Linked DNA regions of Lepisosteus oculatus. The protein of the gene in region 1 interacts with the protein of each later gene in a biochemical or structural test. Links are inferred from orthologs where the notes say so. Each region holds a gene or a part of one and is shown on either strand. Other genes may lie near its edges. The genes, in order: sh3gl2a, dnm2a and synj1.

What was found.
Region 2: the proteins of sh3gl2a (region 1) and dnm2a interact in a biophysical measurement, tested with the Homo sapiens proteins (2 studies listed by BioGRID and IntAct, with this or other methods). The link is inferred for Lepisosteus oculatus from reciprocal best matches to the Homo sapiens genes SH3GL2 and DNM2.
Region 3: the proteins of sh3gl2a (region 1) and synj1 form a complex in vitro, tested with the Homo sapiens proteins (2 studies listed by BioGRID and IntAct, with this or other methods). The link is inferred for Lepisosteus oculatus from reciprocal best matches to the Homo sapiens genes SH3GL2 and SYNJ1.

The regions. Positions count from the first base shown.
Region 1 is NC_090696.1:58,813,299-58,821,362, reverse strand, and holds the start of sh3gl2a (SH3 domain containing GRB2 like 2a, endophilin A1), read right to left. Parts: upstream 3,303-8,064; 5' UTR 3,140-3,302; coding exon 3,095-3,139; intron 1-3,094. UniProt on the Homo sapiens protein: Implicated in synaptic vesicle endocytosis. May recruit other proteins to membranes with high curvature. Required for BDNF-dependent dendrite outgrowth.
Region 2 is NC_090706.1:19,999,595-20,006,974, reverse strand, and holds the start of dnm2a (dynamin-2), read left to right. Parts: upstream 1-4,365; 5' UTR 4,366-4,544; coding exon 4,545-4,705; intron 4,706-7,380. UniProt on the Homo sapiens protein: Catalyzes the hydrolysis of GTP and utilizes this energy to mediate vesicle scission at plasma membrane during endocytosis and filament remodeling at many actin structures during organization of the actin cytoskeleton.
Region 3 is NC_090700.1:19,989,756-19,997,777, reverse strand, and holds the start of synj1 (synaptojanin-1), read left to right. Parts: upstream 1-4,881; 5' UTR 4,882-4,964; intron 4,965-8,009; 5' UTR 8,010-8,022. UniProt on the Homo sapiens protein: Phosphatase that acts on various phosphoinositides, including phosphatidylinositol 4-phosphate, phosphatidylinositol (4,5)-bisphosphate and phosphatidylinositol (3,4,5)-trisphosphate. Has a role in clathrin-mediated endocytosis.

The DNA.
Region 1 (8,064 bases):
GGATGCAGCCAAATACAGGACCATTCTGGATGAAAACCTGTTGGAGTCTGCAAAAGACCTGAAACTGGGACGGAGATTTATCTTCCAACAAGACAATGATCCCAAACATACAGCAAAATCTACAAAGGAATGGTTCACAAATAAACGTATCCAGGTGTTTGAATGGCCAAGTCAAAGTCCAGACCTGAATCCAATCGAGAATCTGTGGAAAGAGCTGAAAACTGCTGTTCACAAACGCTCTCCATCCAACCTCACTGAGCTCGAGCTGTTTTGCAAGGAAGAATGGGCAAGAATTTCAGTCTCTCGATGTGCAAAACTGATAGAGACATACCCCAAGCGACTTGCAGCTGTAATCGCAGCAAAAGGTGGCTCTACAAAGTATTAACGCAAGGGGGCCGAATAATTTTGCACGCCCCACTTTTCATTTTTTTATTAGTTAAAAAAGTTTCAAAAATCCAATAGATTTCGTTCCACTTCACAATTGTGTCCCACTTGTTGGTGATTCTTCACATAAAATAAAAAATGTATATCTTTATGTTTGAAGCCTGAAATGTGGCAAAAGGTTGAAAAGTTCAAGGGGGCCGAATACTTTCGCAAGGCACTGTAAATCCATCCATCCATTTTCTAGCCACTTGATTCAGTAATGGGTCACAAAGAAAGCTGATCCTATCCCAGCAAGCAACGGGTCCAACACAGGAAACACCCTGGATGTCTATCATAGGGCACACACATATACTGTACACGCACACACTCACACCACGGCCAGTTTTCCCAGAAGCCTGTCAAGCTACCAATTTGTCTTTGGACTGTGAGAGGAAACTGAGCACCTGAAGAAAACATGGGGAGAACAAACAAACTCTGCACATCTAGCACCACAGACCTAGATTTAACCCTGGATTGATGCTAACTGTTGTGCCATTGTGCCACCCTTCAATGAAAAACATTATTATTAATAATAATGTCTACTGTATGAAGAGTACAATAACAATAACAATTGTTTGCAGGTGTACAATACTTTTCATCCTGAAGGATTCCATTCACTGCTGAAGTGCAGCACCCACCAGTTAGAAGTGTGGCAGCCATTCTGCAACAGCATTCCCTACACAGCAAGTCTGGGGATGCTGTGTGAAATTGAGGTGTTATCAGGTAGGGCCCATTATCCAAACTTAGAATGGAAACTAGTCAGGAAATCAGGGCTAACACCCCTGTTTTTACTAGCTGTACCACGGGATCTTTACAGACCAATGTCAATGAAGGATGGCATCTCCTACAGCTAACTGTAGTGTCCTTGATCACCGTACTGGGCTATAGTTCTATAGGTTTTTTACAGGAGGAATTTTATCTTTTTTTTTATTAATACAACCTCAATATGATCACCTGTCAGCATTATGCTTTGAACATCAGATTGTTTTGTTGTATTGGGAAAGATGACAGTTTGCTACCGAAAGGTTTTTTGTGGTTGATTTTCCCCTAAGAGTTTAAGCAAAAATTCATACTGAACAGAACCCTCCTTGATATCTAATATAAAGCATCTGTATTTAAATGAGTGTTTTTACTGTGAATTCCTAAAATGTAGTCACTTCTCTTTTGTTAGTCATATTGCCCTGCTCTTCAGTTGATGTTTTATTATTTTCTATGCATTGTGCTGTAATTCCTATTTCAAGAGGTTGTGTTCCCAGCTTCAGTAACGCTATACAACGCAGTTACAGTCAGTTGTGATGTTGTGATACTTCTTTGAACAAAATTAAATAAATACAATCACGATAGTTTCAAAATAGCATATCCCAGCGCACACAAGAACGCACCAAAAACAGTTACTGTACATCATGCACATTTATTTTTTTACTAATACTGTATTACCTCTGACGCTGACTCATACTGTAGTTCTATTTTAACCCACATAACGCTACTGAAGTTTTTGTTATGGGACGCTTGGATACATTTTCACAGGACAGTGGTTGTTTTCTCTTTGTTAATACCTGCACTTAAAACCCAGGAATCCAAACCCCGCGGTTGTACTGTTATAAAATAGCACCAGTTTCATGATGTCTAAAACAATGTTCAGTTGGGACAGCAACAGCATCTTGTATTATGTACTCACGCAGCAAAGACCAACAAAAGGTCATCTTCACAAAGCACAGTTTTGAAACCTAGAGCAGTGAATTCAAGCTAAGGTGAAAGTGAAAGGCAGTGAAACTGTTTTATTTACATAAGTCATCAATACTTATTATAAATAACAAACCAGCTGGTGTACGGAGAAAAATCAGTAGAAAATGTTGTATACAAGGCAAAATATTGGAATTAAACCGAAATAATAATAAGCCAATATTCTGCTTGACCATAAAATAACAAGCGTCTGTGCTTTTCTTGATCACAGTGGAAACGATATTTCAGTGTTGGGGGTGTATTTTTGCTGCTTAAAAATGCAGTCTGAAGGGTAGTCTCCCGCATATTCATCTTTATTCGGTGAAAACCAATGACATTGCACCGAAACTATTATATTTCTCTTTCATGTTTTATATTTTCACATTACCAAAACTAAAACCATATTTCAGTACTGAATGCACAATATTTAGAAAATGTCAATAATGTTTACATCTACAGTCAATAATGTTATTTATTTAACATTTAACACTTTAAATAACATCTACAGTCAATAATGTTATTTAAAGAGGGAAAATAAAAGGGATAAAAAAATCAAGGGATGGAGCACATTTGTAAACTGAACCTAATGTGAATGGAATTGTCGAAAGACATTTGCAGTTATAACCCAGCACTATGGAATCTGAGACTCGAAACCTTGAGCTACCGAAGAAAACGCACAGATTCGCCGTATAAAAGCTGCTCTCTTTATATATAATTTTTGGTTTCATGTCTAAATACGTGCCCTACATTATATATTGCAGACACGACTTAGTGCAATAGGAAATTAGAAATATATTTATAAACCCAAGCAACCAAAACAAGCAAGGAGTCAAAATGGGTCTCCTCGGTGTTCCATCAAAACAGAACACTTACTGCATTCCCACGTCCTGCAGGAATGCACAACATTGCATCCTCTGCGATTCCAAGGATAAACAACAGGAAGACTTACCTGGGTGGCTTTGTGGAATTGCTTCTTCAGTCCTGCCACAGACATTTTCAGATGTAGCGGTTTGCTGTTCTTTGTTTTCTGATTTCTACTCTTGCTCTTGTCGCAGAGTGTTCAAGATGCTCAGTTCAGACCTTGCTGAAGCGCTCAATTCCTCGGGATCTCCAGACTCGGGGACTGACTAATGCTATGATCAGGTTATTGAATGTCACTCTTAATGTGACCTGCCAGTGACGTCACCTTGCTCCATAACCAACCTCTTAAAGGCACAGCGGAAACAGCAACTACAAACAACTAAAAATACTACGGCAATTACCTTAGACAATACACGATATGTGCTTAAGCAAAGGCTCAAAAGAAGCTTGACACCGTTATGCATTACATAACCATCGAATGATATGAAGAGCACCAGAAGAAAAGAAAATTAATAACGCGTGTGTAAAAAAATCATATAAAACGAATGTAATTTCTGAACGAGACCTATTCAAGGTGTCCTCTTTGAAATAAAAATATATCTATCTCCCTCCTTTAATAACTTCTTCCAAATAAGAAGTTAATAATGTTTATAAACGAAAAGAGGTTATTCTACCCATCTAATTCTGGATTTTCAGTCCCCTGGTTTTCATTACTCCAGACTCTTATTGGCTCTTAATAACTCAATGTATTGCAATCGAGTGTTAAATTATTTATCTGTATTACCACTTTTACATGCCTTTACTCACTAATGATTAGAAGTAACCTATAAACCCGATAGCATGCAACCCTCCAGAACCATGTTACATTAGAATTAATATTTAGTATAGGGTTAGTATAGGTGTGAATATTTTAATATGTGCCAGTGCAGCCTGTATCTCTGGGAACCACTGTCCCATTTATAATAATAATTGCTTACACTTATATAGTGCTTTTCTGGACATTCCACTCCAAGCGCTTTACAGGTAATGGGGACTCCCCTCCACCACCACCAATGTGCAGCATCCACCTGGATGATGTGACTGCAGCCATAGTGCACCAGAACGCTCACCACACATCAGCTACCAGTGGGGAGGAGAACAGAGAAATGAAGCCAATTCATAGATGGGGATTATTAGGAGGCCATGATTGGTAAGGGCCAATGGGAAACTTTGGCCAGGACGCCAGGGTTACACCCCTACTCTTTTTGAGAAATGCCCAGGGTTTTTACTGACCACAGAGAGTCAGGACCTCAGTTTTCCATCTCATCCAAATTAATGCACCTTTTTACAGTACAGTGACCCCGTCACTATACTGGGGCATGAGAACCCACATAGACCACAGGGTGAGCACCCCATGCTGGCCCCACTAACACATCTTCCAGCAGCAACCTTAGTTTTTCCCAGGAGGTCTCCCATTCAGGTACTGACCAGGCTCACACCTGCTTAGCTTCAGTGGGTTGCCAGTTGTGAGCTGTAGGGTGATATGGCTGCTGGCGGAAGAGCATCAATTATCCCAGTTTCAGAACTAAGAACAGTTACAAACAAGGGGAACCTACTCAGCCATTCTAGCCCTTTTCATAATTGTTACAGTAGCTAACAGATCTAATATCATCACCTGATTTTGGAAAGATGCTATGCTTTGACACCATGGCTGTATATAATACTTTAAGAAAGCTTCCTGTTGTCACATTCCAGTGCAACTCTCTGTATTTTCCACCTGTGTCTTCTGGCTTGTGCTGATGCTGAAAAATTCCATTAAGTTAACTTGAATAAACACCTTTGGGGATCCTAGAATCCAGGCTCCTGCAGATTCAGAGCTATCTGACTGCTTAGCTGTACATTTAAAAAGTCCTTGAGACAGATAAGCCCATCCAGAATCCTGACTTTCCAGCAGAACGATGGAAAACCACACAGTGCTAGGTTACAATGGAATGACTTTAAGAAACCACTGTCTACTTCTTGACATGGCCAGATTTGTCTGCTCTGAATACAATGGAATATGTGGGACTAAGGTGAATGCTATCGGTAGTAAATAAGAGCAACTGGCCATTTGTTAGCTGGTCAACTGCCCAAAGGATCAATGGCAGAACATCTCACAGCAGTCTGTCCAGAGGCTGATGAGGTCTTTGTGTCAGCACTGCAAGCTATGGTTTCATACGTAGGGATAAAACAGTGGGGCATATTATTACAGTAGGTTTTAGAAAAGATTAGTAGAAATCTTTCTGTTGCTTTGAAAACCTCTGGCAGTCTCCCTCACCGATTCTAGACATTAGGAGTCCATGTTGAGGTACGCCTCTCTGATAACCAGGATGTCCTGACTCTAAAACAAACTATGGGTCCATTTTGACCATCAAGCCATCATGGCTCCTTTCAATCTGGAACACCAGGGGTGTGACTTATCTGAGTTGAAGCCTGAAGTGGAGACCAGTTAGTCATCCAAAAGATGACCTATCAATGAGAAAACTGGACCTGGTGACATCACAACCCATCACTACTCACTTTAAGGTATTGTAATGCCAAGAACTTCATTCACTTTGTCTCTTTCTTGCTCCTCTTTTAATTCAAAAAGAAAAAGTTACGTGAATGCTATTGTCCAAGTCAAGAAAATTAACTTTAATTCAAGGGAAATTTTGTGAACAGCTAGCCAATCTGAATCATTCAACTGGAACAGAGACAGACCTTGAGCACGAACTGTTAGAAAGCTAAGCTCAGCGTGACATTAGGTGGATACTTTTTCCTAGAGGAGCAATGCTGAGCACAAAGCTAAGTAACACTATTTCCCTGCACCACAGGAAAGAGATTGAACATAGCTACATTGAACTGAGCCCAGTTTTGTCTATCAGTAGGATTTTAAAAACCTCTTTACAAGATACATTGACAAGCCTCACCAGATGAGTAAAAATTCCATGTTCACATTAGTAGTTTTAAGAATTTATTCCAAACACATTTGACAAAGTAACTTCACTATCTACTTGTCTTTGAAAACATGAATGATTTTAACTTAGGCTAACAAATGTTAGCATCAGTGTGTTTTATCCCTGATATTATTACTATTTTTGTAATCACTGAATGAACAATCAGCCATTTTTATCAAGGCTGACCAAGGCACTCTTGAAATGTACTGCTCTAGTTTCTAATTGGTCAAGAAAATTCATATAGGGTAAGTAAGAGCAGGTCATATCCCATTCTGTAAAAAAGTTTAATTTTTGACATTGACACATTTTGTTTTTATTTACATTTATCATGATTCCTTGTTTTTTGTCTAGATTCCTATAATTTATTTATTAAAATATCTGGTTATATCCATTAGACTTCGATATTGAGGTTCTTTTGTGCTTTTGTTGGGAGACAATTCTTCCCTGCTAAAATGGTGTTAGCGGAGTGTTCTTGCTAAGTGTGACCCTGCTATCATCTCTCTTCTTCCAGTGGTTTCCAGCAGGTAAGTTTCTGGAGGCAGCTCTGCTCGTGCAATGCAGTACTGACCAACTTGGAGAGCTCTGATGAATCAATTAGAAGAAATATAAAATAACAATCCTTTAAAACGTTTAGCTGATTCTTTCTAATCCCGAAATATAAAAATAGCCTTGCAGTTCCCCTTAAAGGGCTTCAGATGAAACCGTTCACCTAAAAAAGTTTTTCTGAATGTCACAACACTTGATCAACAACAATCTCAACACAACACTCCAATTAATGTTTTCTAGGAACCTGCACATCTGATGGGGTGGCTGATAAAACTTATCATTCGTGATTGCTAGCAACAGTTCATGGCCAAACTGTTTTCATGCATGATTTACACAGGAGAGCTGTAATGTTTTACATACTAAAAAGCAAACTATTTACAGTAGTACTCAGAAACATGGTAATATGATGATTAGTGCTACTACATCGAACTTCCTCAGTTCTGGTTTCAGTTCTGACAAGATGTCCTTCTGTGTGGAGTGTACATGTTCTACTTGGTACTGGTTCATTCCCATAGTGAAAACAACATGCTACATACTGTAGCTTCACTAAATGTCTGACCATGCAGGGTTACTCTACTATGCCCCCGATTGGATGGATTACTTTTAGTTCTGTTATCTAGCTCAGAGAAAAAAAGAGATTTAGACAGATGTAGAAAATAAAAACTAGAACACACTGTTATACACCAAAGCAGGACTCTTATTTTTTATTAGCAGAGACAGTATATGAGTTTTAATGTCTCTCAGTATATACTGGTCTGTGAAGGTCTTATTTATACTACATGTGTAATAACTCACTATGTTTTTAATTGAGCATTTTATAGCTTTACACTTCTTGTATTATTAATTTACACGAATTGTACTGTAAATTAATTGAGCATTCTTATTTTGAAGTAATCCAAGACCAAGTTTCAGTTTGTTCAGAAGTCCAGTATTACCTTAATAAATGGGTGAAATTCCACCATGTTTTGAAAACTCTCAAAAACATCAAGTGGAAAGAATGCTCATGTTGTTGGTATTCTATTTTTATAGGAATTATCAAGTTCCTCCTTTAAGAAAAACAATTATACTGAAACATATTTATTCTTTTATTACGCAAGTCCTCATCTACAAAAAAAATACAGAAGAAAGCAAATAAATTAAGAGCTTCTAGTGTGCTCTAGACTATTCTAGTATGTTGTTGAGAAAATGCCTCAGAATTGTCCTTCAAAATACCTAAAAACAATGATAAAGGAAAAGTTAAGACTTTAACACAGAGAAACAAATATACAAATAATATTGCTATTTAACAGAATGTAAAGTAATGCCCTTGGTTTACTACGGTAATTCACTAAGACTCTGCTCCCTAGGTTTCCTTCTGCTGAACAGTTTCCTCCATAAGGCTGTGAAGCAACCCCTCCCACACCATCTCTCCTGATCTTCTTCAGGGGGAGGGGGCAGAGGAGGGCATGGTGCTGATGACAGGGGCAGGCCAGGCTCTGGGTCTGCATTAGTGAGGGGGGAGAGGCAGGGATTTCAGGGGGAGCTGGGATATCAGAGATCAGCGGAGGAAGGGGATCTA
Region 2 (7,380 bases), on another chromosome or scaffold:
TTGCTCTTATCAGTGTTCTTACTAAATTTAATTGAAACCAAGACTTACAAAAAAAAATGACAGTTTGAAAGATCAGGGTTGCCAGCCCTGTTCTCAGAACACAGAAAGAGTCATCTGGTTGTCACTCTTAATAATTAAACTGGACCAATATGACATCACTCTCTTGACCTTCATTGGCTCACTGAATATGCCTATAGGGCCTGAAAGACTACAGGTGCCCCTGTCCTGAAGTTGGGGACCACTGTTTTAATTCATTAAATGCCTACTGGTAGCTGAATTTACCCTTCCTTCCAAGCATCTTGAACTCAACCACTAATCTCCCTAATTCAGAAGTTATTCAAAAGATAGATTGCAAGAGTTAAATTACAGTACCTTTATAACAATTTTAGAAACTGGGATTTAGGAAAAGTGTCAAATTGAGAATAAAATCATTAGTTTCATTCAGGGTTATCTGCCAGGGTTAAACAGAGCTTTATTTTATTGAAGAGGGACAGTGCACAGTTCTTAAGCTGCACCACAGTAAGCCTAAAAGCGAATTTACATCTGGAGTCCCTGGTTACAACACAATGAACAAAATACAAGACACAGACATTAAAAAAAAAAACATCTAGAGGCAAATCGGATGATAAATCGATATTACAAATGGTAAGGTGAACCGAAAAATTCCAAAACGATGGCATGTTGAATTAAAAAATTATCAAAGACCGCAAGAGTCACATTAGAAGACAATTAGGAAATGAAACATGACAGCTTAGACTATAAATAAAAAGCGAATAGTCAATGACATGATGATAGTCATTAAAAAAGACATCAGGATATTACAGATTACGTGACTTTCTTGCAAATGAAAAGTAGAAGACAAATCACTGGGCTTCCTATGAAAACATGGAACACTGGTATTCCTTAAGGAATACATATTGAGAATACATATTGTGTGCCTTGCAGCTCTGCATAATACACTAAGTAAGGAATCACCTGGGGACCGCTCAATTTCAGATACATTATGGAGTTGTAACACAGTCTACTTAATGGGTTCAATTAGTTAACTTAGTGAGCAAGGACCAGAAAACCCAGAAAACCCAGCAGACAGGAAAGGAATACTCAACTCTGGTCCTGAAAATCCCAACATCATTCCAGCTCAGTTCTCAGTTATTTTAATTAATTCCTTGATTGAACTGAATTTACTCAATTGTACTTGACACCATTGCCAATTGTTTAAAATGTGCAGTTTTTGTGTTACATTATAAAGTACAATAGTCAAAATGAAATCTCCGACAGTTTATGGCCTGAAACCCATCCCACAGGTCAAATGAATCATTCAAGAAAAAGCTAAAACAATGAAGAGCCTGAGAGAACGCCTGCAGATACCAGGGTACCCAGGACCAGCACTGGGAAGTTCTCCTCTTGGAAGAATTTTGAGCACAAGTGCAATCAAACAAAGGTCAAGGGCACGAGCAGATAGTTATATCTTAAGGCCGCATGGAGACGTCTCTACCAAGAACCTGTGTTTTACAGCACCGAGGGCGATTAGGTCTGGGTAAACAGGCGCTAACACTATCACTCCAAGATTTGCCCGGGCAGGTAGGTGCCTCCTGTTAACATTTGAGCTTGACATGTTTACTGAAGGGGTGGCACAGTGGAACACTGGTTAGCATTGCTGCCTTGCAGTGCAGTGGCCCTGCGTTCAATTCCTGCAGTGCTATCTGTGTGGAGTTTGGATGCTCTCCTCATTTTAGTTTGTGGGGGTTTCTTCAGGGTGCTTCCGATTCCTCCCACAGTCCAAAGACAATCTGATGGGTTAGTTACCTTGTGGGAAAATTGGCCCTGGTGTGCGTGTGTGTGTGTCTGTTTATGATTGTGTGTCAGACCTTCAATTGACTGGTGTCCCATAAAGGGTGTATCCTGCCTAGCTTGTCCGGAGAGTCTCTAGCTCCCCCAGTGCCCGTGACCTTGAAGTTCATAAACTAATTAAAAAAACAGATGGATGGGTGTCTACTGAAGTTTTCCCATGTGTCCCTGAAGGTGATGGCTCACAGTTTCTTTGTTCAGCCTTTTTCTAAAAATGCTAGGATAGATCACAGGGTGTCCTAGGAGGCTGTGCAATGCAGGTGACTCAAGGCAGCTCTGCTGAAAGGTTGAAAGGAGTTCCTGTCTCCCACCATCCTTTGTGTAAAATGTGCCTCCTGCTTTTGTTTATAAAGGCACTACGGTGTTTAAGATTGTCTCAGCAAAAAGAGTTGAGATCAATATTGAAGTAGTTATATACTGGTTTTATGTAGAAAGGGCCTGATATTTAATCTTGGTTTTCAATAAGCATATTTAACCGAAGAGCATCGATCAGATCTGAATTATGAAACAGTTTAAGATGTTTTTTATATATCCCGTTTTCTCATTTATTTTTTGATGTTTCTCGAGTGAGCCATGAATACAAGATTAAATTTACTAAACCCTCTCTGAAGTTTATTCGGTATTGATATTTTACAAAAATTAAAATGATGTCGCGCTACTGGAAATGCGCTTCGCATAATGATTTCCCTTAGTTGTAGTGTAAAGCTGTAGTATGTAATGGTTAAGCGCGCTCTGTTGGCTGGGTTCGTCAGCGTTGTGCACAGTCATACTGAAACTGCCCCACCATGTGGCTCTCAATGAGATAGCTTTGGGAGAAAAAATACAGAGTTAAATATGTGAAATCTACACAAGCTCAAGACCTCCTTTGTTATTTTGGGACCTCGTATGATAAACAGAAAACGTGCCGTTGAAGTTGGAACTGGCAAAAACGTTCAGAGACAGAAACAGTCTCTGAGATCCAAAGACCAAAACCGTTAGAAGTAAGAAAAGTCATGAGAGACTCATTTGGATTATTGCAGTTAATTAAGCAGGGGATGTCTTGGTGTCGTTGATTGACAAAAAGCAAGAGTATTGGCTTCAGCATCCTGGCTGGTAAGATTGTTCTAGGCTCCCACTACTCTTTGTGCATATGAGTGCCACTTTTTCTGTGTTAAAAGCACTTCACCTACAGTAAGTTTCCCTTGGTGTACTCTGGTTCGTGTTTCCCTGTTGATTTTGAAGACTTTTTATAGAATCAACTTCTATAATTTTTTTAAAACTGCTGCAGGGTTTAAAAAAGGTGTTCTCGATAATTTTAGCTGAAACGCTGCTTGTACCCTTAAGCAAGTCGCATCACTCAGGCTACTCCAGCGTCAAACCGAGCAAATTGATAATGACCATGTCATCACAGTAAGCGAGAATTCGTTTTCAAGTGGTTTATCTGGTTAAACTGAAGTGAGGTTGCGTCAAGTGGCCTCTGATAAAAGTTCATCCTTCATTTTCTAAACGTTTTATCGAGCTTGCTGAGAACGACGGACTCTAACCCAGTAAGCAACAGGCGCAATAGCGGATACACCAAAGGGGACGCCAGTCCATCACTGGGCATACACAGATACAGGCTCCCACACCAGTGCAAGTTTTCCCAAACGCCAATTAACCTGTCAGCACGTTTTCGGACTGTGGGAGGAAACCAGAGCACCCAAAGGAAACCCACGTGAACGAAGGAAGAACATATAAACTCAACACAGACAGCAACCCAAGTCAGGAACTGAACTCAGTCAGAGCCCCACTACTAACCACTGCGCAATGCTGCCCCTGTTAAATGTCATTCACCACTATGAGCAAAAACATGTTATGAAAATAATCAAGTATATTGGCTTGCCAGTAATTTAGAAATGACGCAGGTCCGGCGTTCCTCTGGTCGCTTTGACTAAAGGCACATTCTACCTAAAAATATTTTTTTAACAACACAGTTGCTCGGTGGGTTATTTGTTGAAAAGTGTGTATCAGGTACAAAAGAATATAAACTCTTAATTTACAGCTGATGGTCATGGTGAAGGGCTCAATAGATTAAATTAAGTATTAAACGCATCAGTTTTATATTTCCCATCGACGAGTATGTTTTTATAATTTATAAAACAGAAGCGAGGCTTCTAGTGTAAAATAATTAACGAAATATAGCCTCTTATTCTTTCTGGGGCAACAGATCGGTTTAGAAAGGTAAATTTAGAAAATAAATTTAGAAAGGTTGTGTGTAGCTTCTAACGCAAACACTCATCGTACTGAAATCTTGGCTGTATTCCTGGGGTAGAAGAAACAGTCAAAGGCTAAAATGATTGACGTTCCAGATGGCCAATAGCGATGCTTTTTACAACAGCACCGCCCGAAATTTAAGACCACGCCCTTACTTACAAGACGAGGAAATAAACTATCCACCAATCGCCGGCCACTTCGAGAAGACGGGCATGCAAATTCGCCAGTGGTTTTGCTCCTTTTGCTTGACAGGAGGCGTGGTCTCTATCAGCAGCGGAGGTTGGGGTGTCGGCTGACCGGATGAGAGAAGTTTTGTTTCTGTCTGTTGGAGTTCTCCGTGTGTATGTTTGCGCTGCCATTTACGGCTGACTGGTTGAATTATTTTTGATCCCCGTTACCAGAGTTGGTGTGAACATACAGAGCTTTTTTTTTTACCAAATAAGTGAGAACCCGAGTGCGCAGCCATGGGGAACCGGGGGATGGAGGAGCTCATTCCCCTGATTAATAAACTTCAGGACGCTTTCAGTTCCATCGGGCAAAGCTGCAACCTCGACTTGCCGCAGATCGCCGTGGTCGGCGGGCAGAGCGCTGGCAAAAGTTCAGTCCTGGAAAACTTTGTCGGCAGGTAAGCCGTTTTTTAAAAAGCCCGTTTCCATTTCAATTCCAACCAGAATCTGGCGGCTCGGCGGAGCGATTTCCTTGTTTGAAAAAAGGTGTCCGTTTCCCGTTTAGGAGCAAGTGACATTCACAAACAGCGTTTGCGAACCTATCGCCAGGCTGCAGGTGGAAGCGAGGGTATTGCCAGTGAGACAGCGTAAATTACGCTACTGCCGTATCTCGCAGAGTGTGCGGAGCTGTGCGGACTGGGGCTGGGAGGAGAAGAAAGGGTTGTCCGAGGAGTTACGCTGGGGAAAAAGTGCGGAAATCTGTTACACCATGACGTAATTACTAGTGGAAGGACACACAAATACTCGTCCTTCTAAAAGTTTTTTCCCCAGTCATGAGTTATTTTTGTATTATTTTTTTTAAACTAACAAATTTTCTTTTCACCTCAGCCGCCCAGCTGCTCTGTCCCCAGGGGATCCGGATCCCTGATTCTGTCTCCTTTGTTGTCCCGGATACCGGCATTTTAAAATAACCTTTAATATGTAGCAAACACAGAACCGGCACATATGCTAGAAATTAAACTTATAAATGCTAAAATGTTTGCGATTTACCGAGAAGTGACTATCGTAGTTCTGCAATAATGAATGACTTCGAGTTGGACGGCTGTTTTTTTATTTCGAACACTTTCAAAAAGCAAGAATGTTGTCTGTCGAAATACTTGTCGAGTCCGTCAAAATGCTTTTCTTTATTCAAAAGCTATTAACATCAAGGTGTTGTTTTAAAGTCGGCTTTGTTCGTTCGAGTCTCTTATCCCTTACGTTGCTGAAACGGTTTTATAAAATATAAGCTGTCTTTTCCGATACACCCTTCACGTTTTTTATTATTGAAAACAGTAACCCACCTTTACTGTCAGTATGAAATACATTTTGATAAACTTCCTAATTAATTATGGTCATACGCAAAGTATACATATTTTACAATATTCATATTTATAAAATGCCACTATATGAGAACTAGCTGATTGCCAGACGTGTAGACGGTATGATTGCTGATGGCTAAAATAAGCGATTGTAACTATCGAACTGGTAGCTTCAAAGGAAGAAGTAAAGGTAAATTCCACCTCGAAAAATAGAAAAGAGAAACGCAGTTTGGGCTTTTGTGCCTTCTTCAGGTGTGACACCTCTTGTTTTTTTTAGCGTGGAATTAACATTTACTGGTATATCACCAAAGTCAGACACATCTACTCGACCAAATTCTCCTTTATATGTAAAATAGTCGTTTTTAGATTCGGAACTGGTTGCACCAGTTAAAAAAAATGCAGTTGACAGGTTTTTTTTTAACGTGGTCCTGCTACCATTCCAATGGATATTTTCTCCTTGTAGAACCTGTGACACCTGTCGCACCTGTGACAAAAGAGTTTTTGAAGCTTTCTGTTTATCCCTCACCTTGAAATTTGAATTTCCTTCAGGAGTTTCCTTAAGAAAGGCTGCACTACCCTGATCTTGGCTAGTGACCTAAACTCAATTGTTGGTTCATATTTCTTACTGTGAGTTCAAAGCAAATTTTGATGTACAGTATTTAAAAGAAAATCCTAATTGGGCAGCTTCTGCTGTCACAAATTGGCTCCAGTATTTATGTCACAGAGCCTTATTATGTATCAAAAAGAGGTACAGCCAACATTCTTCAGTTTGTGTTTATGTATAACAGTGGACATCCCAACACAACCACGTAATTGTCCTATATAATCGGTCACAGTGAATAAGCAGTGCTTATTTGACCACAACACGGGCTATATCCTACAGAGCTTTAAAAATGTGTTTTTTTTAGCCAAAATTATATTTTTGTCTGATTTCATCTTAACTGTTTCCAAGTGGAGAATGTTGTATATGCATATGTTGTAACTTCTTGGGTGCACCTGCATACTGTTGGACTTCATTTTAGAAAATTGTGGTCAAGGAGTTTTGTTTTGGATGGGAGGAAGGTTAGTAATTAGAGGAGGCTGTTTGACCCATTCCGCCAAATGACGTTTGGTAGTTGGTACTTAATTGATCCCAGGGACGTGGCCAGCCATTTATCCAAAGAAGCCAGAGTATCGGCTTCAACATCATGGCCAGGGAGCTTGTTCCATACTCTCACAACCCTTTGTGTAAAGAGCTCACATTTAAATGCAGTGAGTTTGAATGGACAATGTGGTGTGCCTGTTGCCTGTATTCTGTTTTCAAAAGTCTAGCTAGACAGTGAAATCTCAAAAAATACATCTTGTAAAGGGCTTTATATGTTCAGAAGGGTGTAAGATGAGCTATGGAAATGAGTCCCTGGTCCTAACCTGGGGTGTTTGCATTCTTTGTCTGCAGCTAGAAGTGGACTTGAAGGTTTTGTAAACTGGTGCCTGACTCTAAAATACTGAATATCTGTACCATCCTGTCCTCACAATGTACTGGGATTATGAAGTATGCCTTCTTTATTCTTAAGCAGCCATATCACTCTGCAACACACAACTGGCAACCCACAGAAGCTAATCAGGTGTGAGCCTGGTCAGTACCTGGATGGGAGACCTCCTGGGAAAAACTAAGGTTGCAGCTGGAAGAGGTGTTAGTGGGGCCAGCAGGGGGCGCTCACCCTGCCGTCCATGTGGGTGCTAATCCCCCAGTGTAGTGATGGGGACACTATACTGATAACAGGCGCCGTCCTTCG
Region 3 (8,022 bases), on another chromosome or scaffold:
ACTGGTCGCATTTTGTGTGCTTTCGTGGCAGATTACGTTTTTTATGCTGTTAATTTGAAAACGCGTAAAATCAAGATTTTTCCATGTTTTGCAAATTACAGCAAGTCAACTGAAATTGCTGAAGCTTCGATAACTCATTAAAACTACAAATAGTATTAATATAAGTAACCGCGGCTTTTTTGTATATAAAATACTCTATGTATTTTTCCTAAATTGTATAAAAAATATCGGTTTTGGCTTCACGTCATCGCGAATTAAGATTTTAATTGTATCCTTTAAATATTTTGATTTAAACACTTTTAATCCACATTCTGATTTAAAATACATTTGTACATTTAAATACATATCTGACAGCAGTAGCCCAGAATCTGCCTATTTGTGTGATCAATATGCAGTGGAAAGAGTGCATTCAGAAGATGGTTGCACACTTTTATATTCAAACTGTGTTACAGTGTTAGATCTATAGCCAGATACTTGAATTGAACCAAGACACACCAAGAGTAAAACATTTGTTGCTGTATTTTGGTTAAAGGTGTCAACTACTATTGTATTTCTTCAAATAATGTGTACAGTAGTGACAATGTTTTGCACTGGATTTTTTTCAGTAAAATATCTCGAGACATTTTGCATGAGTACCTTAATGTACCTCTTACATTGTTTTGAAGGTTCTGTAGCTGATATAATGCAGTTTCTATATGCAAATAATAATTTTAAGCAAAATCAGTCAATTTATGAAACATGTCTTATCACGAAAGTCACTATTGTGTCTGAAACAATTGTGGCTAGCAAACCTCCTTAGCTCTCAACAGTGAATCAGAGAGAAAATAAAGAGCATAGTGTACAATGTGTAATCAGAAAAACTCTATACTATGCTAAAGCTATTTAATGTTGCTAAGCTTTATCTTGGCTCAGCTAGAGATGTGTTGTCAATTTCTTCCTTGATAAACACCTTTGTGAAATATGACTTTAACTAATTCCATATATTAGCCAGGTTACTTTTCTTGGAAGACAGTGTAACATACTGTAGTGGGTCAGTTTCTGGACTGGTGGGTTAAAGTCCCTGAGGCGTACTTTTTGCAGGGTACTTTAACCTGATTGCTCCAGGCCACCCAGCTGCTCTCTGGTGAACTGGCTTTCTGTCCACTGGGGGCTGGAGTCATGTGCTCTCTATTTGCTTAATGTCATGAAAATCGTGATTAGCTCTGGGCTGATGGTCCTTTGCAGTTTCAACATGGAACTACCAATGTTATCTCACTCTTCCTGAGGCATCCTGCTTCATCCTTTACTGTTCATCTGCTGTTGTTATCCTGAAAAATACATTATATTAACGCTTTATTCTATTCTGTCTCTTGCTCAACCATCCTACTAACCTAGTTTTACCTATTTTGCAATTCAGTGCACTCCTTTTCTCTAACTGAATAAATATTTTTTTTTCAATTATGTTATATATTGCTCCCTTTCTCATTATATACTATTGGTCTTCGATTTTCCTATTCTTAGGTAGAATCTGTTTTATGTTTCAAGAAAAATATCTTTAAAGTGCCCTCTAGTAACGGGGCTTCTGTCTTGACATCTTTTCACAGCTCACAAAACAGTCAGGAAGCCAGACTTCACAGAAGGCCACAATCAGTATCCCTCCACTTGCACTTGAAGGGGAACTGTAGTCCTAATTTCTCAGGCCGGTTATTAAACCTCAATTATAAAATAAATTAATTGATAGTATGGCAAAATTGAAGATATTCCGAATTAAACACAAAATTGTGAACTATGAAAGTACTGTCACTATTTTTGTAGAGAGTTCATGAGAATTGTGAACCGGCTCTTCCTGCTCTCTAGTCACTCTAATGACTAATGTACAGTAATGCGATGCATGAGTGAATAAGTACAGGTTGTGCAGCAGACATTTCACCTGAGAAATGTTCTAACGTGATCTGTATGCAGAGTTAATAAATAATTAGTATTTGACTGCGAAACTGTCTCAAAGTGGAGAGCAATATTTCTGCTGGATTAAAAGTAATGTACCTGTATTCACAAATCTGCTTGTTTACAATGTAATAGAACCGCTTCACTTCACTGGATGTTTTGCTGGCTTGTTCTGAATCACAGAATATGGTGCTGCACATACCTGGAAATGTAGTCTATTTTGTGATGTAAAAAGGGGGTTTTACATGTTACTATGTACATTTTACATTCATTGTGATTTGAAATGCACTTATCAATTCTGATTCTTTCAAACACCGAAATACACACATAGCATTGAGTTTCCCCTTTAATTTCATGTTCTGACTGTATATGTTGACCAGGTAAATCAGAGCTTTGATCATGATGCATTTTTTATCCAATCTGAAGTGTACCAGCACATGCACCAAGAATCATGACTCTTCTAATGCCATAAAAACCTTATTTTCCAAGGCACAGCACACTGGGGAAATCTGCATATACAGTACTGTACTTCCTGCAAAAGAACAGAAAATGCTTGTATGTCTCCTACTTTCTCCTAAATTGTCATATGGGTAATAATTAAATAACATTATGAATTAGAAAAGATCCCTTTGTAAATACTCTAGTTCATTTCTGCTTTATTCACATAATTAATCCCAAAAAGAATTGCTTAAAATAATCTCTAAATTACTGAAAGTAACTGTAATCGTATTATTGTCAAAAAAGTGTAAGAGATGACCTTTACCCGGATTTTGAGCTCTTATTACAATTAAAACAGTAACTGGTAACCCATTGCCTTCCAACACTGCTTTGAATGCAAGAAACAACTTTATAAACACCTTTATACAGTACATTTAGCAAATCAGCCAAACAAAATGAAGGGCAGTAATTTTGACCTTATAAACCTTAACAGAGGTTTTGGACTTTTCCAGGACTTTTTCCAACAGTAAACAGAAACTGGATAGCACAATGTAAAACGTAAGAATGTATTTTGGAGTAAGAACGAGAGCTGCCTCTTAACTCAAAAGAACAGGATACACATCTTTACACAAAGGTGTGTGTACAGTTTCGAGCCACATTGCTTATGCTGTTACCCAGCCTTACTTCAGGAGCAACTTGCCAAACTGTAACTACTACAGTAGGTCTACCCCTGCTCTGAATAGCCTGTCCACATATTGTAGGTCTTGATTCCTGGCTAACAACCAGCTGTAAACCAAACCTCTTCCAAACACACTTCAGATGTGTGTACCTTACTGACTGACTCCCAAAGTACTTGTTCTGGAGGGTAATGAGTGGCCAATATATTCTAGTGCCCTGGTAACCTCCCTTTTCTCTCTGACCTGTCAGCACGTACTGTAGTCCACCAGTCAGGACCTGTCTTCACTTAAGTCCTCCTGCCTGTGATTTAAAAGACACCATAACTATGAGTGGCTTCAGTGATGCAGATTATTACATCATACTAATTGATAAAAATTTAAAGCACTTTTTCATAAGATCAACTATGAAACTGTAACAGGAAGTTGTTTGGCACAGTAGGCGGATGTATTAGCTTAATCACGCAGGCTAGTGTGCCACTATACGGAATCGTCCCATTGTTGTTTTCAGACATAAACCAATTTAATAGCAGATTCAGTTTTGGTTTATTCTTTACACGAGTCTATCGTACTAGACAACCACCTGTGACACCATCATCTGACTGGAAGGGACCTGCAAGCACGTCACAACTGACAGACAGTTTAGCGGAAACGTAGAAACACTACAGGAAGTACTCCAGTGGGTTTGTGGGAAATGTAGTTCGCGTTTGGTAATACAACATCTTAAGGCATCTAGAAGTATACCGAGTAGTTTTCTGGCCACGGCTCTCTAAAGTTCATATTAACCTGGGTGCCCACACAGGCAATGTATAATAACATATAATGGGTGCTATTAGTAATAATTAAGACAGAGTTACATACCCATTTTCAATAACTGCTTAGTTTCCAGCGTTCCCAGGTCCTAAGGCGCTACTGTGAGGCAAAAAAACTGAAGTAAGAACATAAGATTAAAAAGGAGAGGGTGGTATTTGACTTGTCCAGCTCTTTAGGACTCTCTTAGCTATTTGAACTCTGCACTCAGGCGCGTCATGAAGGAAACATGAGTTTAAAATTTCAGCTTAAACAACATAGCTGGGTAAGTTCTTCTATACTTCCACAACCTTTGAAATTTTCTCCTTTTATCAACTTTAAATGCACATTTCAATGTAGTCAAGCAGGATTTGGTGACCTGAATATTTTTTCACCCAGCTTTTGTTTATTAATTGAAGAATGAGAAAATATACTAGTTATATCTGATTATTTACAGAGCAAAAACATAATGTTTCCAAGAAGGACAAAATATCAGTCCTCCACCCCCGAGGCCTAGTACACAGTGAGTCTGCAATATGTGCAAACATAAAATATAAAAAAACTAGCTGTATTATGATTAAAGATATCAGTTTTAGTTTGCACGTGTGTTTAATCTTTAATGACAGTTTTCGAAACTGGGCTCTCACTCTATCAGATTATCTTGAAAACCCTGATTCTTACAAAGCAAGCGCATTCCTTAAAAAATCTTTCTTTCAAAAGTTTTATTGAACATCAAATTATGCAAAAGAGAAAGGGTATCCAAAAATATAAGTGAACAAAAAACGCAGAACAAAGGTATAAATTTGAGCACAATAACTTAAATTTCTTGCATCAGTTACAACAGATTTGTTTATATATATATATTTCAAGTTTTTAATGGAAGTAATACTGCATTTCCACCTCATAAGCATTAAAAGGGGAATTAGACCCCTTATTAGCATAAGTCTTAGCGTTAGACCATTTTGTTCTATGAGCGTTCCTCACAAACCTGGGATGCCCGTGTGTGCCGGGTTATACGGTTACGCAGGCGGAACCGTGCGCTGCGGACGTTTGACGTCGCCTATTGGCAGTGGGAGGGCAGGGACTCTGTGGTCTCGGAGATCAGAGGCTGGTAAATCCGGCGGAGACAGCAGTGGGACGGTGAGGAGATTTGAAAATATCATTATATGAAATACCTGTAAATCGTTTTCTGCGATACAGACCATTTTCGCTGGCCTGCGCGATTAACACCCGTGCGTGTCTTTGCGTGACAGATGGCCTTTCACTAAAGAGCGTACTGGGCTTAGTGAGGAGGCGAAATGCACTAAAATACTTCATAACAGGATACTGTAGAAGCAAAATGAAGCCGGAAGACAAGACGGTGTTATAAATCAAAGAGATGCGTGAAAATATGTGGTTTCAGTGATTGCCATAAGTTAGAGTTAGGAAATGTCATTTTAATATTGGTAAACCAGTTTGAACGTCAGCATTTTAATCTTTGTGTTTGATTTTATACATATCAGTATACGCAGCTATTTATGTTGTCAGAGCAGCAGGACCTGGAGTCCCATTGTAATTTCGTATATTGTATAGCCGCCAGCCATTCATTATCATATTGGGTTTATGCTCAAGGGTGGTGTCTTCTGGCCTGTATCACGCAAAGGGCCTGAATTGATTTTGCGTGATTAGAATGAAACGCCAGTCTGCGATTTTTTTGTTTACCTAACTGAAGGTTAATCGGTGCGAGTTCAAATCACCCAAACACAGCAGTGGAGCAAGATTACTGTGCGCGTATCCTATGTAACTGCAAGGGGGCGAACTGTATATGATTTCCTGCTGTCAGATTTGTTAGAACTGGTGGTGTGGTAAGTGACAGTTCCTGCAACGCGCGATTGACACATTCTAGTCAATTCAATGCTGTTGGCCTGAGAGTCATGGCTTTCAAAGGTAGTAGCTGGAGGCCGGTGCAAATGTATTTATTTAATTTTAGGGATGTCCAGACTACCATGTTTCATCTGTCCTGGAAATTGGGGATATTTAAACAGTCCTAGCTGCTTCTTTTAACATCAAGTTAACAGATACCCAACCTGGCAGATTTCCAGTATTGGATATGACAGTAATACGTCTGAAGCACAACACCGTGATTGAAATATAGACACTATGATGGCAATAATATAGACAATAATGGCACTTTGAGCTGAAGCACTTGAGAGTTAAGCCTTATCTCCAAGGCAGCTTGCTAGAGTCTCATCCATCCACCGTTCGCCATCCATTTTCTAACTGTTTGATCCAATTCTGGGTCATGGGGGAGCTGGAGCCTGTACCGGCAACACTGGGCACAAGGCAGGGTACACCCTGGACACACACATACACAACAGGGCCATTTTTCCTGCGTGCCGATTAATGTACCAGTGTGTTTTTCAACTGGGAGGAAACCAGAACACCTGGCAGGTGTTCTAACATGCTAACACGAGAAAAACAAACTCCACACACATAGCACCCTGGTCTGGAACTGAATCCAGGGCCCTGTGCTGTGAGGCAGCAGTCCTCACCAATTCACCACCATGTTGTCCACTGGAGTCTCATATGAGTTAAAAAATATAAGAGGTTGTAAATAAGACAAGATCACTTGACTCATAGCTCAGTGGTGCGAAGGTTTCATCTAACTGTTTCTTGTAGAAAACTAGTGTATTAGCTTTAGAAACATACAGTAGCTACTCAGCTTGTGCCATACTCCCACAATTCTCTGTGTAAAGGATCACTTCCAGTTCTCAGTTTTTAAGTGCACTGCCCTGCAGTTTCCACACGTGTCCTTACTTTGTTTTTCTGTTGATACTGAAAAAAATCCATTGATCTTGAAAAGCATGAGGCAGGTCCCCTAGAAGATCTTTCTGTTCCAACCTAAAAAGATTCAGTTCTTTTTTTTATTTTATTAGAGCAGACAGCAAGGGGACCTGATGCTAGTGTTTAAAAAGGCAGTCTACAACTCCATGAGGCTGAATCGTGGGTGTTTTCTCTCTGGATCATCAGAAGCTGCAACCCTGTGTTTTGGCGATGATGAATCAAGGGTTCATCCTTCTGCTAATGATGGATATGCTCACCTCCAGAGAGCCCAAGGAGAAAAAAGTGCCCACTGCAACACTGCTCAGTGGGTTTCTTCCAAAGGCAACTGGCTCATAGCGTAGGAGGTGGACTGTGTTGGAGTTTAGCAGGGTCCTGGAGAGATTTTAGCAGATAGGGCTTCAGCTCTTTGGCTCTGTCTGGGACACTGGTGTGATCGTTAGTCACACTAGATTATATTATCTTACCTGCCAGGCTAGCCATGGGTTTCTGCAGGCTGGAGATTGTAGGGAAGTCTACAACGATGGAGGGGCAGGCTTGTGTGAACTCGTAGGTATCGCATCAGGGCTGCAACCTTGCATGCAAATTATAGTTTACAGTTTCATTTTACAGTTTACAAGTTGCAATTCCAGTCACACTTGCAGATTAAGATGGAAGACTTTAGACATTGTCTACCTTCCAGGCTGCATGAAGTATTGGGGCTAGTATTAGTTGATCCTGAATTTCACATCAAGTCTTTAGAGATTGATAGTTGATAGTGTTTTGATTGGGCAGTGCTGTCTGATGTGAAATGAATGCATTGGTTCAAGCGAGGACAAATGATTGTTTCCCAGGAAAAATATTTGATTGGCCACTTGTTAGAGACAAAATACAAAAACTGAAAAACTGATTTTTCAGAATCAGACTGCATTTTTTAAAATAAGGCCATTGTAAAAAATTATGTTCTTTGAATAATTTACATTTCCTTATACTTTATTGGAAATCTATTCATTTGGCAACTTTGATTGCATTTATTTTTAGAGAACAGAGTTTTATTTTTGTGGACATTTCCCTTGCAAATGAAGGACCATTTCCAGTTGGCATCTGACAGGCGTAAGGTTATAAATCATACAAAAATGAAAAAAGTGTTTTTGCAAAACATCAGAATCAAGAGTAATTAATAGTCTGCCTTATGTTACTTTTATCGCATTTGTATTGCATATTTTTATAAATCTTGGGTTCAGTTTGAAGTGGGACCTGAAACCTGCAATCGTAAATATTGACCAGATTTGTACGTCTGGACATTAGTTTTTTGAGAAAATCTGATTGCGTTCGTCTTGGATTGAGGCTTGAGAAATTGAAGGTTTCTCTTTTCTGCTCTTTCAGGTGTGTTTTAATA